3 linked regions of the Schizosaccharomyces pombe genome follow. Changing the gene in region 2 together with the main gene of any one other region gives a genetic interaction. Each region holds a gene or a part of one and is shown on either strand. Other genes may lie near its edges.

Region 1 (6,574 bases), 1.2 Mb from region 2:
CGTGGAAGAAAATGAAAAGGGTTTTTTTATTTCTTATATTGATAAAAACCCTGCTAATATCTTAAGAAATGAGGCTAACAAGAAACGAGAACGTCAAGAAAAATCTGATGAAGAACAACGTCTTCGCTTGCTTGATGAACAGATTAAGCGTGCTTATGAATCAGCACAGAATAACGAGGACAATAAGGATGGAAGTTCAAGGGAGCAACCTGTACTACATGAGATTGATCTTTCAAAAAAAGGAAACCCGATTCAACTTAATTTATCCTCATCTTCAGATTCTCACTCTGCTCAAAATGAATTTTTTCAAACAAGAAATACACCCACATTTTCTTTTTCTAGTTCATCCTCCCAGACCTCCTTGAAGCACAAACCAAAAAATGTTTTTGCAGAGCTGAATAAAAGCCGTAAAAAGAACAATAAGGATTCTTTAGATCAAGGGCAGAATGTAAAAAGGCCACGGTCAGCTGTTGAAGACATTATTGCTCAAGAAACAATGAGAGAGAAAAGACGCAATATAAAGCTCTAACCGGAGAATTGACGTTTTTAAAAGGCTTCAAAAGTGAGAATTTATTTATTGGTTTATTATTTATAAAAAAAATACGCTTGTACTTGTACTTTTACTTTTAATGTAGCTTATTTAACCGTATATGTGTTATTTAGTAGCCTTTCTGCTAGCTTAGTCTACTTGATTTGAAGGTGCTGTAAAATACATGAAAGCTCCAAATTTCATATAATTTTGCTTTCACTTGATCTAAGTTAGAGATTTAATAACTTATATTTTACTATAGTACATATATATGAAAATGTTCGATACGTTAGTAATTGTAGCACAATTCCGTATACAACCTTGCCTGAACAAACATAATCAGTTAAGACATGGCTTCGGAATTTTCCGGTCAAATACAAGAATTGCTGTCTAGAATACCTCCTGTAACAAGGTATATTCTGCTTGGAACAGCAGCTACCACAATTTTAACTTTATGTCAACTTCTTTCACCTTCGATGCTAGTTCTGCATTATCCGTTAGTCGTTCGTCAGAAACAATGGTATCGTTTATTTACTAATTATCTCTATGCTGGAACTGGATTTGATTTTATCATGAACATTTATTTTTGTACGTAAATCCATTAAAACCTGTATTTAAATTCTAACGTTTTGTCAATAGTTTACCAATATAGCACATACCTGGAAAACTTTGTCTTTGCTAGGAATGCAAAAAAATACATTATTTATTTAGTTAAAGTTGCTCTTTTAATTGATGTAAGGAGTATTTGAAGGTCTAAAGTATGCTTATTAACGTTTCTCTTTAGGCATTTTCCTTGATCTCAGGACTTGGAAGCGCGTTAAATCAATCGCTTGCCGCTGCCATTGCTTATAATTGGTCTTTGTTTAACTCATTTTCCAAAATCCAGTTTTTGTTTGGTTTTCATGTTCAAGGCAAATATTTGCCATATGTTCTTCTTGGCTTCAGCTTTCTAACCGGAGGTCTTCCATCTCTAGTAGTATTGGGTTTTGGTATTATCTCTGCAATGATCGTCAATTTTTTTGATTCGATTCACACTCCTGTTGTCCATCGCTCCAACTCTCCCAAATTGAATTCCCAAAAGGTGTCTGGAACATTCATTGGGAAGGGCAAAAAGTTAGGCACTTAATTTTTCATATTGATGATTTCATTAAGTGCGTTAAAAACAGTCGATACGTGTTCGAAATTTTTATCAATATTTCTTACTCCATTCATCACCTGTCGAGTCTGGTAGGCAAACTTTCACAATTTTCAATAATGCATCAATGAGTTCCACTATTTCAAATTTTTGATGAATAATATTTCACTTCTTTCCTGTACGAACACGACGGCTTTCTCATTCATATGCTGATAGCTAAAAATCCGAACTACACTAATTTGTTGAAATGTAGCCCTTTATTATAATGTTCTTATCTAAATTTCTTTTTTTATCCTTCACCAATAGACTAAAGTAAACATATGTACAAATTGACGTGCGAGGCATATGCACTTAGAAATCTTTTATTTTACGTTCATAAAGTAAAGTGGGCCTATACCACGTAGAGTACACAGATCAACTACCAGCCAGTGTACGGTGAAGCAGGCATGGAGAATTCAAAATGGGGAGGTTTTCTTAAGAAAGCAATGTCAAATGTTGAAACCAGTATTGACAAAGTCTTAGACGGTAATCAGATTGAGGAGATGTCACGAGGAAATGCAAAATCAAAAGATGAGATTATCGCAAAGCTTCTTACGGAAGGACAGGCGCTTTCAAAAAATGAGTTAAAGTTAAACAATACAATTAAGCAACTTAAAAAGAGTTTAAGTGAAGCTGAAACAAAGTTGAAGCGCCTAGACGAGAAACAAGCGACTCCGGAATTACAGGTATCTGACTCAAAGGAGATGGAGGAACAATTGGAACTACAAAAGTCTCAATTTGAAAAGAGGATATCAATTTTAGAGAAAGAAAAGGAGGATCTTCAAAGAAAAATGGAAGAACTTACAGTAGAAAGCATGGAGGTTGTTCGTCTTACGCGTCAAGTAGAGACCCTCTCAACCCAGTATTCGATTCAAAGGAGTCAATGGGTACGTGAAGATGAAAAGAAGAAAAAGGAAATTCAAGACCTGAAAGAACTTTATGAGAAATCCGAGCATGGTGCAAAGAATTGGGAAAGGGAACGTGAGACTTTCCAGAATCAAGTATCTCAAATGTCTAAACAGTTAGATTCATTGGAGAAACTTTGTGAAAGGAAAGATGAAGAAATAAGGAGTTCTCAGGCTTTTAATATGACATTGAGAGAGGAAAATGATACTTTAGCAGCCCAAAATTTGGACTTACAAACACAACTAGACCGATTACAAAGGGAGCTTGACACTAATATAAGAAGTAATGTTAAATCTAAGCCTAAAAAAATTGTCACTACAGGAGGAATTCCTGAAAATAATGATTATACGGTTGGAAAGGTAGATACGCTTAAAGTCACCAAAGAAGATGAAGATCCCACTACCCCTACTAATGCTATTCCGATACCTTCATCTATGAGCAAGCGTGATGAAGCTTTAGAAAATGACAAAGATAATTATTTTGACGACCTACATCCCTTAAATATTTCAACAAGTCCGCAACCATCTCCTTTGAGTTTTTCAGAAATCCCACAAAGCGATACACGGAATGCTTTAGAAAACTTTTTGGATAATCTTCCTTCCCCTTCAGAAGAGAGATCCAGAATTTCCAGATCAGCATCAGAAGCGCGAAAGTTGGGTATAAACGCTCAGTCAAGGTATGCTTCCATAAGCAGTGCAGTTCTTTCTCCTCCTTCGGAAGCTTCAAGAAAATTTAGCCTATACGAATCTGAGGCAATATCACCAACATCAGGGACACCCAGCAATCTTGAAAAAGGTGCCGGGAATGTTCCTGATGTTAGTCTTTTGGAGCAACTTGCTACCACAATTCGCCGATTAGAAGCCGAACTACAAACAACTAAGCAGCAAGTAGCGCAACTTATAATCCAAAGAGATCAGGCCCGTCAAGAAATTGTTGATGCCTATGTAAATAATGATGCAAATGAAGATTCAAAAAAGCAAGTGGAAGAGCTTAGACTACAATTACAGAACCTCGAAAAAGAGCATGCCAGTACGTTGGTAACACTTAAGCAGAAAAGTGACAAAGTGTTTGAATTAGAGCTGGACATTAAGGATATGCGTGAACTTTATGTCAGTCAAATTGATATATTGGCAGGCAGGCAATAACGTTTGGAAAAACTTGTATTAAAAAAAAATAATTTTAATATAAATCATTTTATTTAATTTCATTGATTCTTTCAAATATTTTGAGCGACGATGCTGGAGATGATAAACGTATTGGCAAAATCAAAATATTAGTTTTGAGTATATGAAACAGCTTAAAAATACTTGTACTCTAAAGGCATAGATGGGTGCAACCACCTAACTGTTCTAAGACAGCCTCAATTTGATCGCCATCTTCCATATCAAGCTAAATGTATAGTTAGTACCGGCTTTTGTTGTAAAAGTTTAAAACTTACCTCAGCAGGTGTTTGATCTGGACGAATACGTTCCCCATCAACAAGGAAACGTAAGCTGTTCATACTTTTTCCTTGTCGTGCACAATAAATCTTCATTAACTTGCTGAACTCAGTGGTCTTTTTAATTTTGAAAAATACTTCGTTGTTATCCTACATCAAGTTAGCTTCACGATTCGTGCATTAAAGACTTTTGAAAGCAAAAGATGACAGGAATAGCATGAAAGTCTCTTGCTGTAGCACACACCTGTCCGACAACTTTCAAATTGATATGCTCTGTGGATGGTTTGACATCTTGTTGCGAAGTGTCACCTGTGGTAGGAGTGATAGCACTTTTGTCAGCATCAGAAATGTTTGCTGATGGTGATTCAGACATTTTTTCTCAGATACTATATAAAATCGAATATACAGGTACAGGGGGGTACAATCAAATTCTCATAGATCAGGAATGACTGTTGTGATTGTTTGAAGCAAGAATAGCGTAATGTGGTATATAATATAACGTGTATAAATCTACTCCACTATTTTGTTTAGTTGTGTCTTAAAGCTACGTTAATTATTTGCTTACTACGTTTACTCTGCTTATAACAATGGTTAGAAAACCGTAAACTGCAAATCTACAAGAATTTTTGAAACGCTAGCAAATATTTGTCGAACTATAAAAATAAAGCCGTCGATAAATAAGCCGGTTTATATCGTTTTGTTATAAAAGACAATTTTGTTGATTTCATCGGTGTTAAACCTTTACTTGAATCTTTTTAATATTTTCGAATTAATTGGCATAATAATCAAGCATTAATATTCTTATTTATTTACCTTAAAAATGTCTTATATGAATAATACTTTTCAATCTAATTATGATTATTCTAAGGACAAAAACTTTATGTCAACAGACATTGGACCTTCGATGCGTGAAATGAAGGCACAGAAGCGTCGTAGTCGTCCTATGGATAATCCAGATGCTGATAATCCCTATATTCCTAAATTCATTTCAACCGCTCCTTGGTATGCTCAGGATGATGATGCGGTCGAAAGATTAGCCCATCAAAGGATAGGCAAGAAAGAGACACCAAGTGGTGGTCGTTCCTCCATTGAAGGCTCTTGGTACGTTAGAGGGAAAAAATTAGGACCTGCTGCTACAAAATATCGAAAGGGTGCTTGTGAGAATTGTGGAGCCATGTCCCATAAAGTTAAAGATTGCATGGAGCGACCAAGAAAGCGGGGTGCTCGTTGGACAGGAGAAGATATTCAAGCAGACGAAGTTATTCAAGATATCAACGTTTCATGGGATGCGAAACGTGATCGTTGGAATGGCTATGATGCCACGGATTATAAGAAAGTTATTGAGAGATATGAAAAATTGGACGAATTACAAAATAAGGGGGAAGAGAATAGGGATGCGTCAGAAAATTCTGCTGTTAAAGCATCAAGAAATTCCACCGTTTCTGGTTCCGAAGATTCTGCATCCATAACTACACCAAGCCTTAGAATGCGAGAAGATGTGGTGGCGTATTTGCGAGCTGACAATAAAAACTTACAATATGAACCCAAATCCAGATCAATGAGAGACGAAACTGGATATCATATGGTGGATGATTCTTCTGGAGGTGCTGGCTTTGTCAAAGCATCTGGTGGTGAAAAAGAAGACTTCGAAAAACTACAAATGTTTGCCTGGGAAGCTGAGCGTTCTGGAACTCGTGTCCATGTTGTAGCCAATCCAACAGCTGGTGAGCTGGAATTTCGAAAAAACAAGGCATCTCGTATGACTACCCAGAAACATATTGATCAAAGCATATTAGATCGTTATGGGGATGGTACCTCTAAAGTGAAAGACAAAAAAGCAAAAAATAACGAAAAAGAAGTTCCGGATTTAGCTATTCTTGATAAATCTGAAAAAAGCAAAGGAGAGTCGAACACAGATGAAGAATCCGAAAACTTAGTTATTGTTGAAGGGGACTTATGATTTTATTTATATATCTAATAATATCTAATAATGACTGAATGTACTGCAATGACATTTTTCTAAATATAACACTAATTAACTTGTTATTATTTCTTTAAATTTTATCTTACTTCGTTGAACAAGAGACTTCTGATATTGTCTAGCGATGGTGCAATTGTACTTTCCAGATTTGTTTAACGAAGTTTTAAGAAACTTTGTTATGTATACATTCTGTCAGAAGGGTAAACATCGTTAAAATATTCTTGCCTATGGATAGAGGAACTTTTGTACTGAACACCTTCAATTCTCCATTATCAAATTTTTATTTAATGTCTTCGAAACTATCGAAAAAGAAATTAAAATCTTTGGAATACCGCTCCAAAAAATTTGATAAAAAGTCGCAAAGTTTGGAAGAGCATGAGAAGAAAGTACAGCAAAAGAATGAGGAATTAGAAAAGAAAGCCGCTGACAAAATATCGAGAGATGAACTACCAGAAAAGCAACTAGCACAATCAAATGATAAAGATAAACATAGCGTTTCAAATCCCCCTCATAAAACTTTGAAAAGCAAACGACAGAAAGGGAAAA
Region 2 (4,796 bases):
TGAAAATCAACATTCAATAGGGAGAAGGTCGAAAAGAAAAGAAAAAGTTCATTCTCGAATTAAACAAATGCATTTTATTTTCCATCAGATTAACTTATGTCAACAATTGTAAATTCAAAAGTCTGTCGCCTTTACCTTCGCACACTTTCTCTACGTAAAAATTATAAGAATGCGAATTCTAAGTTGGAATGTGAACGGTATACAGAATCCATTCAATTATTTTCCATGGAATAAAAAAAATTCCTACAAAGAGATATTTCAAGAGTTACAGGCTGATGTAATATGTGTTCAAGAATTGAAAATGCAGAAAGACAGCTTTCCTCAACAATATGCAGTTGTTGAGGGATTCGACAGTTATTTTACATTTCCTAAGATCAGAAAAGGCTATAGTGGGGTTGGATTTTATGTAAAAAAAGATGTTGCTATTCCAGTGAAAGCAGAAGAGGGAATTACTGGCATCCTGCCAGTACGAGGACAAAAATATTCATATTCAGAAGCACCGGAGCATGAAAAGATAGGATTTTTCCCAAAAGACATTGACAGAAAAACTGCTAATTGGATTGATAGTGAAGGAAGGTGTATATTATTAGATTTTCAGATGTTCATCCTAATCGGTGTTTACTGTCCAGTAAACTCTGGAGAAAATAGACTAGAATATCGACGGGCCTTTTATAAAGCCTTACGAGAAAGAATTGAAAGATTGATAAAGGAAGGAAATCGAAAAATCATTCTCGTTGGGGATGTGAATATTTTGTGTAATCCTATTGACACTGCTGATCAAAAAGACATTATTCGAGAGAGTCTTATTCCAAGCATCATGGAATCAAGACAATGGATACGTGATTTATTACTACCAAGCAGGTTGGGACTACTGTTGGACATTGGCCGTATTCAACATCCTACTCGGAAAGGAATGTTTACATGTTGGAATACAAGACTTAATACAAGGCCCACAAATTATGGTAAGTTCTGAATTGTTATTTTTTTTACAATGGATAGGTACGAGAATTGATTACACTTTGGCAACACCCGATTTATTACCTTGGGTTCAAGATGCAGATATTATGGCTGAGGTCATGGGTTCAGATCATTGCCCCGTATATTTAGATTTAAAAGAAGAATATGAAGGAAAAAAGTTGTCCAACTTTCTAAGTCACTCAAAAGAACCACCTTTACTATCAACGGCGCATCATTCAGCCTATCGGCCATCAAAAAATATTCATTCAATGTTCCAACATTTCAATTCGATGAAAAAGAATAAAAACAACTCACCCACTCAGAGCGAAAACGTATCTGCTTCTGCGTCCAGCGGCTCCTCACCAACTGTTTCTCGTGCAAACTCTGTCATAGACGTCGATGCCTACCCACCGGAAAAGAGAAGACGAAAAGAACAATCGAAGCTTCTTTCATTTTTTGCGAAGCAAAAGGAAGAGAAAGAAGAAACCAATAAAACAGAAGACGTTTCGATTGAGGTCCTTGATAACAATAATGAATCTGACATAGGGTTGACAGTAAAAAAAAAAGTAGAAAACGGGAACGCCTGGAAGCAAATATTCAGTGAACGAGCTCCTCCACTTTGTGAGGGTCACAAGGAACCTTGCAAGTATTTGACAGTGAGGAAGCCGGGAATCAATTACGGGCGGAAGTTTTGGATTTGTGCCAGACCGGTTGGTGAACTGATTAAAAACTCAAATGCAGTTTCTGAGGAAGATACTCAACCGTTCCAATGCAGGTTCTTTATCTGGGACTCAGATTGGAGAGCAAATTCAAAGGACTGAAAATTTGTAATGACTAGCATAACTTGCTCTTAATCAATTCTCAATTTTGATGTGTATAAACCGCAAAAAGCATTGAGCAGTGCATCACACATCTTTCATTAACATTCTTAATATGTATATACGGAATTTTGTACGGTTAAGATTTCTTTTTTTGAGATCCGAGCATCATTTCCAAACATATAACTTTGTTTGGATGTACTTTTCTTCTGCACACCGGACATTTTTGTGTGGCAGCCGTTGTACCTAAAGCACTTAGTATACAAAAATTGCAAAATATATGCCCACAGGGAGTACAAGATAGGTTTTCCGGACTATCCAGACAAATTACACACTTATAATCAGCTAGTCGTTGTGAAGATGGAACAACCTGTTTTTTGCTAGGTTCTTCTTTTTCAATTTCGGCGTTGGTGGTCGATGGGTTCTTTCCCTGTTCAAATTTTTGTTTTCTTGGATCATAGGAAGTCTCATCAGTTAAATCAATCATATCGCTTATAGTAGTAGGTTGCGCGTGAATACTATTAACATTTGTTAAACTGTTTTCAACGGAAGCTGGATGATTGTTGTAGGTGAATCTTTGATTTATGTCATCAGCATCATTCTGAAAATTAATGTCTTCCAAGTCGAATACTTCACTTTCCACATCTATGTTTAAATCAGAGGTTTCAACAGGTAGTGTTTCTTCTTGTGCTAGCTCCGAAGCAACCTCTCTTAGCGACCTTGGTGCACGATTCAGTGGTAAAGACTCATTCTCAGAGGTAGTGCCTGAAGGATAGTCTGTTGCATCTTCTGAAACCGGAAATCCGTTTCCTGGCGAATTCTCTACTGGAGAAGAACGTCTCCTATTTATTGCTGCATTTCCAGCTGCGACTCTAGCGGATTGAGATGGGATATTGTATGGTGCAGATAAGTTTCTAACGTTGGTATCTCTCTTATGTGCGGGTGGCATTTTTTTGCCAATTGGTCCTGAAATTCGAAAATAGTTTATAGATTATTGATTAATGGGCTAATATTAGGATAATTTTGATCGTATCCTAATCGATTGTCAAATGCTTTTCAGGCTTGCTAGAATAATAAAAGAGAATTGTGTTAACGTCAATATACGCAAACAGCAATTATTTTGGCAACTTGCCAACAAGTTTAAAATTAAATTTAGTAGACCTATGATTTTTGAAGTCTACATGGAAAAATTGGCTCACTACCACAATGTTGTAAGATGCTAGTCTAATTAATATTTATGACCTTTTTCATGAGCACATTCAATAGCGCAAGCGGTATTTCAAATAAGAAAAGAGAACAGAAAAGCTGGTAAAACTTAATTGTGTATCAATAATCTTTTCAATGCAGTTCATTAAACTGCGCAACCGACATTATTATGAGTATTCCATAAACTATGCAAAAATGTATTATGGAGTGCATTAAGGAATGCTAAAATAAAAAAACGATAACAATGTATATCGCTATTTCTTTTCCAAATTGTTGAATATTAGAGGAGTGTATATACTTAGCATCAACCAACGCCTTTTTTTTAATCTAGGTCTGGGTAGACGCAATGGTCAAAAGCTATACGCGGTACGAACCAACCGAATTTTTTGGTGTCATTGCGTCTTCGGGATGTAATATTCTCGGTCAACCCTCTTCGTCTGCTAAATCTGTAGGCAGAGCCATTGTTGGCGGTCTTGAGTCTGTTTTGGAATGGGATTTAAAGACTGGGCAATTACTATCAAAATGGAAGGATTCTGATTGTTCGGCAAAAGTTACTTGTATTGCAAACTTTGATGAAATGTACGCTGTGGGCTATGCAGATGGTTCTATACGTCTTTGGAAAGATGGAGAGCTCTTAATAACTCTTAATGGTCATAAAAGTGCTGTTACTACCATGGATTTTGATAAAATGGGCACAAGATTGGCCAGTGGAAGCATGGATACCGACATTATTGTATGGGATATTGTAGCTGAAACCGGCTTGTTTAGACTACGTGGACACAAGGACCAAATTACCAAGCTTTTGTTCATTACACCTCCTTCGAAGAATACAGCTGAAGAAACAGTGGTGGACACAGATATTGATTCCGGCGACATGGACGTTGACAGTAAATCGTCTGATTCGTTTCTTTTGTCTGTTGGCAAAGATTCTTTTATGAAGCTTTGGGATTTGTCTATTCAGCATTGCGTTGAGACTCATGTCGACCACCAAGGCGAAATTTGGGCTATGTGTGTTTCACCAGACGCCAAACGGTGCCTCACTGCTGGTACCGGTTCTGATGTTAAAGTTTGGGAAATCAGTTTTCCAGATGACAATAATTTCACTCCAACTACTAAAGCATTTCAGCAATTAGGTACCTTTACCCGTCAAAGCCGTGACCGTCCCATCACCTTGGCTTACGACGTTTCAAACCGTTATGTTGTATTCCAAGCTCATGACCGTCTTCTGGAGGTTTTTCGCCTTCGATCAAGTGCGGAGCTCGAAAAGATTCTGAATCGACGACGCCGTCGTAAAAAGTCTGAGGACGTTTCGATCACGTTAAAAGACGAATATGAACCTTTTGCTCTAATTCGAACCACTGCTCGTGCTTCGTCTGTAGCTTGGATACCAGGAAATCGTACACCTACGTTGGTAACATCTCTTCAAAATAACTCAATTGAAGTTTACGCTTTGGATGTCAAATCTGAAGGTTCTGCTGCACCATTAACTGAACGGGCTTCGCGTATAAGTGCCATTGAAATTCCTGGTCATCGTGCTGACGTTCGTACCTTGGCTTTGTCCGCTAATCACGATGTGATTTTAAGCGGTGCTAACGGCTCTTTGAAGCTTTGGAACAAGAAAACCACATCTTGTATCCGTACAATCGAATGTGGTTATGTACTTGCTGCTAGCTTTATAAATAACGACAAGTGTATCGTATCCGCTTACAAATCAGGAGAACTTGAAGTCTATGACATTGCTAGCTCTTCTCTTATCGAACGTATCCAAGCTCACGATGGCGCGATTTGGGATTTAGCGGTTGGTCACGATGGCAC
Region 3 (6,373 bases), on a different chromosome or scaffold from region 2:
ATATGTTTGTACAATCGACACAAATGATGAAAACAAGCACATCAATATATTTATATTATTACAAAAACGATCAATAATCTGTAAAATTCTAATATTTTTCTCTTTTAAGAGTAGTAATAAGCAATAGATAACTCTTTAAATTCACGCCTTCTGTTTCTTAATAAATTAAGCTTCTTATTAAGCGAATTTATACAGCAATTAGTACATCGTTAGGTATATGCAACGCCATAGAAAAGGGTACTTAAAGTCAATCCGCTCACGTGAAATGAACATTGCACATTGCAATATCAACATCTTTTATCATTACTGGTTTCAATAGGTTTAAAGGATAAAATTATATATTTATAATATGGTAATTGCTTTATCTGATTCTTTTATCGAAAATCCAAGATCGTTTCTTCAAAGATTTCAGGATGCATTGTTTGCAGGATCTAAGCCCGATTTACAAGGCACTTTAGGCATCGATGAAGAAGTTTCTAATATTTTCGCTACAGAGGAAAGAATAAGAAAGGTTTGTTAAGTGGTTTTTTCTCTTATTTGACACTGAATATTTAGATTCCAAACTATCTTGACTGCAAATGGTCTGAGTTAAAGACTGGTCAACTACTTCGTCTTCAAGGTATGGTGCAAGACACCAATTTTGGGCATGAATTTTTTGCTGGAGCTGTAGAGGTAAATGAAAACATTTGGAGAGGCTGTAGATACATACTTGATTTCAGCGAAGATGAAATGCATTTAGATGAATCTAAAATTGTCCTAGATGAAAGATATTCACTGTTTCTGACAAATGTTCCTGGAGAAAGAACTCTTCCTGTTATAGAAGCTTTGGGAAACTGGGGAAGCGAGAGTCTGAAAGAACGGTCATTGAAGTACTCAAACCGCTTACAAGCAAGTAATGATACCGGCGTTTGTGTTAAATGCTATGGCGGAATGGAAACTAAAGTTCAAGTTTGTCAAGCAATCGATGTTATTGGAATTTATGAAGAACCAAGTGAATACTCGGATGGTTTACCCATTTTACACATGTTATGTTTTAAGGATTATACGCAATCAGCTACTCAAGCCCCTTCTCCTCAGCAAGCTGAGATCATTCGACCAAAAATATTAAAATATTTTGAAAAAGTCCTTGGTGAAAATATAGCTGCGGAAAGTCTTATGCTTGCTCTTCTTTCCAACGTTGTTCATAAAACCACTGGTTTGGTTATAGGTGGTTTTACTTTAAATTTAACAAATTGCACCTCTGAATTAGTGTCCCAGTTAGTTTCTGTGTTACGGCCTTTGATAAAAAGAATGGTGATTCAAAAAGTTAATGTCGCCGAGCTTAACAGGAAGCCGCTTTATCCCTTGAGTGATGGAGAGACATTAGATACTAGCCATTTGCAAGTGGCTCCTGGCACCCTTATAGTTCTTGATGAAACTGAACTATCGAGTGGAACCTTAAACGATGTCGGATGCCGTAACGTTCAGTTTTTGTCTTCCCTAATATCTCAACAGGATTTAACATTTTTTTATCCTTTCAGTTCTTTTACCGTTCACAGTAATGTTCGAATAATTATATTAAGCCATGGAAGATCTATTTTGCCAGCTGATGTCGGTTGTAGATGTAGAGGCGATTCTCCGGACACTATTGAATTTCCAACTGATTCGGATGAGCTGCAAGAGTTTTGTAATTTTTTTCACATGTGGAACATGCGTGCTAATATTCCCGAAAACATGCTGGATTATATTCAATCTACATATGTGAGCTCCCGTCAATATAATAAAGAAATCAATGAAAAAACACTTTCATTACAGATCAATTGCTCTCGTCTCTACGCGAAGAGTTTCGGTCGTCAACTGGTTTCAAGAATTGATTTTGAGGCTGCCCGTAGTCTAATCAATCATTGGACTGTCAACTGATTGATCGCATATTTTCTTATAATCAACATCATTTAACCAATGTTAGAAATTACTTTTCATGTCTTTTTGGAATTTCCAAGTTAATTTCCTCATTCATTCGATCAAATTCATCAAAAGTTCATTTATATTGTTATTTAATTATTACTACAAGTAAAGCTCACTTGCCCGTTTTTTTTTTGTTTTCTTACATTATCACATACCGCACTGCCATATACTTCCTTATCTTCAAATATTAAATTCAAGTTTTGCCAACCAGGCGTTTGCAGAGATTCAAGGAATAAATATAATTCATTGTATTTTTAGCTAAAATTTGATTTCTTTGTCTTTCAAATACCTATACGGAAGCAGTCATTGCATATAACATATGTGTAAATCGACGGTTTAGGCAAGCAGTCTAAAAACTCAATGAACCAGGCGAACTTTTTACAGGAGCTTCCAGTAAGCCCAATAATAAGATATTTACAAGTTAACTAACAAAATGAATGTTTAGAATGTACTAAAGCGACTGGAAACTGGTCTTATTATACCTCAACTGAAAGATATACTTCGTGTTTTTGGACTTCGTCTTTCAGGAACAAAAGCTGAGCTCATTACCAGAATTAAACAACTAATAGAGAGGATAGCTATAGAAAACAACACAACCTCTTGGGAAGCATTGAAAAAGGCAATCGATGGCGATGTTACAAGTGCCGTATGTATCTTAAAGTACAACACATATCAGATATATAGTGCTGCTGCTCCAATTGCTCCACCTAGTTCAGCTTCTGGAAATAGATCATACAGCCGTCCTTTCGCCCCAGTTGTTCATTCGCGAATACGATTTCGAAAAAGTCCCTTTTATGACATTTTGGAACAATTCAATGCACCTTTCGTTGTACCTGCTTGTGTCGGCACTCGTAATACTATCTCCTTCTCTTTTCATGTAACTCCCCCTGCTCTATCAAAATTACTTAATGATCCTAAACAATATCGTGTTTATCTTTTTTCTACGCCCTCAGAAACCATAGGCTTCGGTAATTGCTTAATGGAGTTTCCAACTCCTCAAATGGAGTTGCGTATAAATAATCAAGTTGCTCATGCTAATTATCGAAGGCTGAAGGGGAAACCTGGGACAACAAATCCGGCTGACATAACCGATTTAGTCTCCAAGTACGCCGGTCCTCCTGGTAATAACGTTGTCATTTACTATATGAATTCTACAAAAAGCTATTCTGTTGTGGTTTGCTTTGTTAAAGTGTATACAATTGAAAACCTTGTGGATCAAATAAAGAGCAGAAAAGCTGAGTCAAAAGAAAAAATTATTGAGCGTATAAAAAATGACAATCAGGATGCCGATATTATCGCTACATCAACTGATATATCTTTAAAGTGCCCCTTGTCTTTTTCTCGAATATCACTACCAGTGCGATCTGTATTTTGTAAGCATATCCAATGCTTTGATGCTTCTGCTTTTCTAGAAATGAATAAACAGACACCTTCTTGGATGTGTCCAGTATGCGCTTCCCATATCCAGTTTTCCGACCTTATAATTGATGGTTTTATGCAACATATTTTAGAAAGTACTCCAAGCAATTCAGAAACTATTACTGTTGATCCCGAAGGAAACTGGAAACTAAATACGTTTGATGAACCCGTCGAAAGCTCGGAAGATGAATTTGTACCAAAAGAAAAGGTAATCGAATTGAGCGATGGGGAAGGTATCTCTACGATGGCTAACAAGTCCAATGATCAACCTACGAGGAGGGCATCTACTCATAATTCTGGTCCACCTGCAAAGAGGAAACGTGAGTCACTTGTAATTGATTTAACAATATCTGATGATGATGAAAATGTGGCAACATCCACGACGGAATCGCCATCTAATGCTACAAAGGAGAACTCTTTGAGTCGAAATGTACAGTCACCTAACATCGACACTGCCATATCGAACAGGTCAACAAACGTCAGACATGGTCACCCGGGGTTCAAAGACTACACGGTTGAAAACTCCCCAGCATCAAGAGAGCGTTCTACAAGTGAAAGCGCTCAATCCTCTGTCCATATGGGATATGCTGGCGAAGGCGGACTGTTATCCGGTGCTTTAAGGGCCCCTTCTCAACAAAATAATAACAATTCGAATACACAGCACTCAATAAACTTACATACAATAGTGCCGTCTCCTTATGAACCACCCTTATCCGTTACTCCTTCAACGGCAATTACTAATCTCTCCATACCAGAAAGTAACAGGACTAATTCATCTGCCAGTTCTAAAAGCTTCACCATGAATGATTTAATTCTTCCACCGTTGCACTTGAAAAATACAACTCAAACTAATAACGCACATGAGGATGCCCAGTCGTCCAATCTCTCTCAAAACCATAGTCTGTTTTATGAAAGAATACCCCAACGACCCTCTTATAGAATTGAAAAGCAAAATAAGGGTATATATGAAGATGAGAATGAACAAAGTATTTCTGCGATGCCCATACCTCGAGCACATCCTCAACTGCCAAAGAATTTGTTGTCGCAGACGGCTGGACCGCTGTGGGATGAACAACAAGATGCTCAAGTAGACTGGAATTCTGAGTTACAGTCAAATAACTCCTATCATAATTCCGGATTTGAAGGAACGGGAAACACTTTTCAGAGTATAGATTAATAACTGTGAATAACGTTATGCTAATTACCATTATATTATTAGTTTAAATTAAATCTCAACTTTTTTATTTACAATACAGTCTCAAAAAACAAAGCCAACATCTACAAGCTATCGTATACAATCAAGCCTATTATCAATCATGGAAGCATAATAGAGATTTGTTTATAGTCCTTTAAAGATTTTATTTAAAACCATCAGTCTAAGCAACAGTCTTCTTGGGGCGTTGAGAAGAAAGAATAGCGGAGGCACGGGCAACGGAAACCTTGACAAGATCATCACGATAGCCAGTTCTGCCGATACGACCAGCAATGCTCTTATAGGTCTTACGAGAAGAAGCGTTGGCAATGACATCCTTGCGGAAAAGCTTGGCAGGCTTTTGAGCATTCTTGGGATTGGTCTTGGTAATTAAAACAACACCACGGGGGCTGTTAGCTTGGACACCAACGGCTTTGTCATTGCAGAGACCAGAGAAGCGTTGAGCGTTCTTGCCAGAAACGTTAACGGGCTCACGGTTGAATTGAATGCCACCGAATTCGGGACGCTTAACAAGAAAGCGGTTGTTGTCACGGATAACTTGCCAGATGAGATCGTTGCTAACAGACATGGTGAAAGTGCTGGACAAATTCACATGCCAAAGTTTGGAAAGTACTTGCATGTGACTGCCTTTTTTGTAAAGGTCAAAATATTTTGTATTTCCCAAATATCGAGATAAATTGAAGTACGTTAAATGTTTAGATTGAATTTCTCGTTTTAAGTAAATGATAATGTTTGAACAGCCCAGTTTTCATTTGTATTTAGATCATTCAGTTGCTTTTAGACTTGCTTCCAATGAAAGCTTCACAATGAATACCGTGTAAGTTGCCTGATCATATAAAGCTGATTACCAATTTGAGTAAGTATTTAAGCTTGCGATATTTTTGTTGGTGTAATTATCCTTAGCAATGGTACTCTTGTTTTTATAAAGGAGTATATGTTGCTTATGTTATGGCTTAACAGACGTTTCTGAAAACTTAACACAAATTATTGATATCAAAGTTGCATACCAAGCATTCAAACAATCTCATAAATTGAAAATGAAGTAAATTTATTATTTCTTTCCGGACTTTAACAGTGGAATGTTTAAAGAATTAATAATTAAAGATCTACAAAAATAATAACCTACAGCACCCCGGATTCCCATGTTGTCTCCAACCATAGTACTAACGAGGCCCTCAGACGCTTAACTGCAGTGATCGAACGGGAACTGGTGTTTTCGCCTAGGTATGGCCGTAGATATTCGTTCTAAGAATTTAATTAATTTAATGTGTAAACAGTTGTCCGAACGGTAGCAAACTTAGCGGAATCATGTTATGGTAAACTAAATTCCGTTACAACTTTCCTTTTTTTTAGAATTTTATAAATACACAAGAAGAATACACTAACTAATTATTTAAAGAGCACAAGTTGTTTATCTGATTTTTTTGGCAGAGTAGATTTTTTTTGAAGTAAAAGTTTAGGGTTTATGAGAAATGCGACAACAAATACTCACTCAAAACAACTTACTTAAAATGGTGTATATTTAAAGTTGATATAAGGATTTTATCCTTTGAAGAAATGTTAAAGCCATTCCGTCTTGAATGATGATTAACTGCTGTAAAAAAGATAGAAAAACCATTGCTTACTTGTAGATGAACTTGTTAATTTGTGATACTAGAATGATATTATTCAAGAAATATTACTACTATCACTTACAGATTGTCTCTGGCGAGCATAGAATGTTTACAGGAAAGCATATGAGGGGATATTCTTAACTCTAACACCGCATATGTGCATTGACGGCGTGGTATGTTATAT

The links.
Region 1: of slx8 (region 2) and pmt3, a mutation in one rescues a mutant of the other (synthetic rescue), as found in Schizosaccharomyces pombe (4 studies listed by BioGRID, with this or other methods).
Region 3: of slx8 (region 2) and pli1, a mutation in one rescues a mutant of the other (synthetic rescue), as found in Schizosaccharomyces pombe (5 studies listed by BioGRID, with this or other methods).

Annotation. Positions count from the first base shown.
Region 1 is NC_003423.3:2,504,740-2,511,313, reverse strand, and holds pmt3 (small ubiquitin-like modifier pmt3), read right to left. Parts: upstream 4,470-6,574; 5' UTR 4,421-4,469; coding exon 4,292-4,420; exon of another isoform or gene 4,198-4,291; coding exon 4,048-4,197; exon of another isoform or gene 3,999-4,047; coding exon 3,924-3,998; 3' UTR 3,755-3,923; coding exon of another isoform or gene 2,111-3,754; 3' UTR 1,656-2,110; coding exon of another isoform or gene 1,314-1,655; 3' UTR 1,264-1,313; coding exon of another isoform or gene 1,169-1,263; intron 1,151-1,168; 3' UTR 1,118-1,150; downstream 1-1,117. Other genes in the region: kin17 (KIN17-like protein), read left to right, coding at 1-529; Der1 family protein, read left to right, coding at 880-1,117, 1,169-1,263, 1,314-1,655; tmf1 (TATA element modulatory factor-like protein), read left to right, coding at 2,111-3,754; splicing factor Slu7, read left to right, coding at 4,868-6,007; SPOM_SPBC365.04C (RNA-binding and ribosome biogenesis protein), read left to right, coding at 6,316-6,574.
Region 2 is NC_003423.3:1,287,237-1,292,032, forward strand, and holds slx8 (SUMO-targeted ubiquitin-protein ligase E3 Slx8), read right to left. Parts: upstream 2,976-4,796; 5' UTR 2,725-2,975; coding exon 1,915-2,724; 3' UTR 1,779-1,914; coding exon of another isoform or gene 1,000-1,778; 3' UTR 963-999; downstream 1-962. Other genes in the region: AP-endonuclease Apn2, read left to right, coding at 170-962, 1,000-1,778; U3 snoRNA associated protein Dip2, read left to right, coding at 3,328-4,796. UniProt on the Schizosaccharomyces pombe protein: Mediates ubiquitination and subsequent desumoylation/degradation of sumoylated proteins and proteins containing SUMO-like domains. Acts as a critical suppressor of gross chromosomal rearrangements (GCRs) during normal cell cycle progression.
Region 3 is NC_003424.3:906,535-912,907, forward strand, and holds pli1 (SUMO E3 ligase Pli1), read left to right. Parts: upstream 1-2,161; 5' UTR 2,162-2,304; coding exon 2,305-2,337; intron 2,338-2,389; coding exon 2,390-4,540; 3' UTR 4,541-4,739; coding exon of another isoform or gene 4,740-5,144; 3' UTR 5,145-5,320; downstream 5,321-6,373. Other genes in the region: mini-chromosome maintenance complex-binding protein mcb1, read left to right, coding at 350-511, 556-1,899; rpl44 (ribosomal L28e protein family domain-containing protein), read right to left, coding at 4,740-5,144. UniProt on the Schizosaccharomyces pombe protein: Acts as an E3 ligase mediating SUMO/Smt3 attachment to other proteins. Involved in the maintenance of the centromere and in telomere length. Regulates recombination, via extension sumoylation, particularly within the heterochromatin repeats.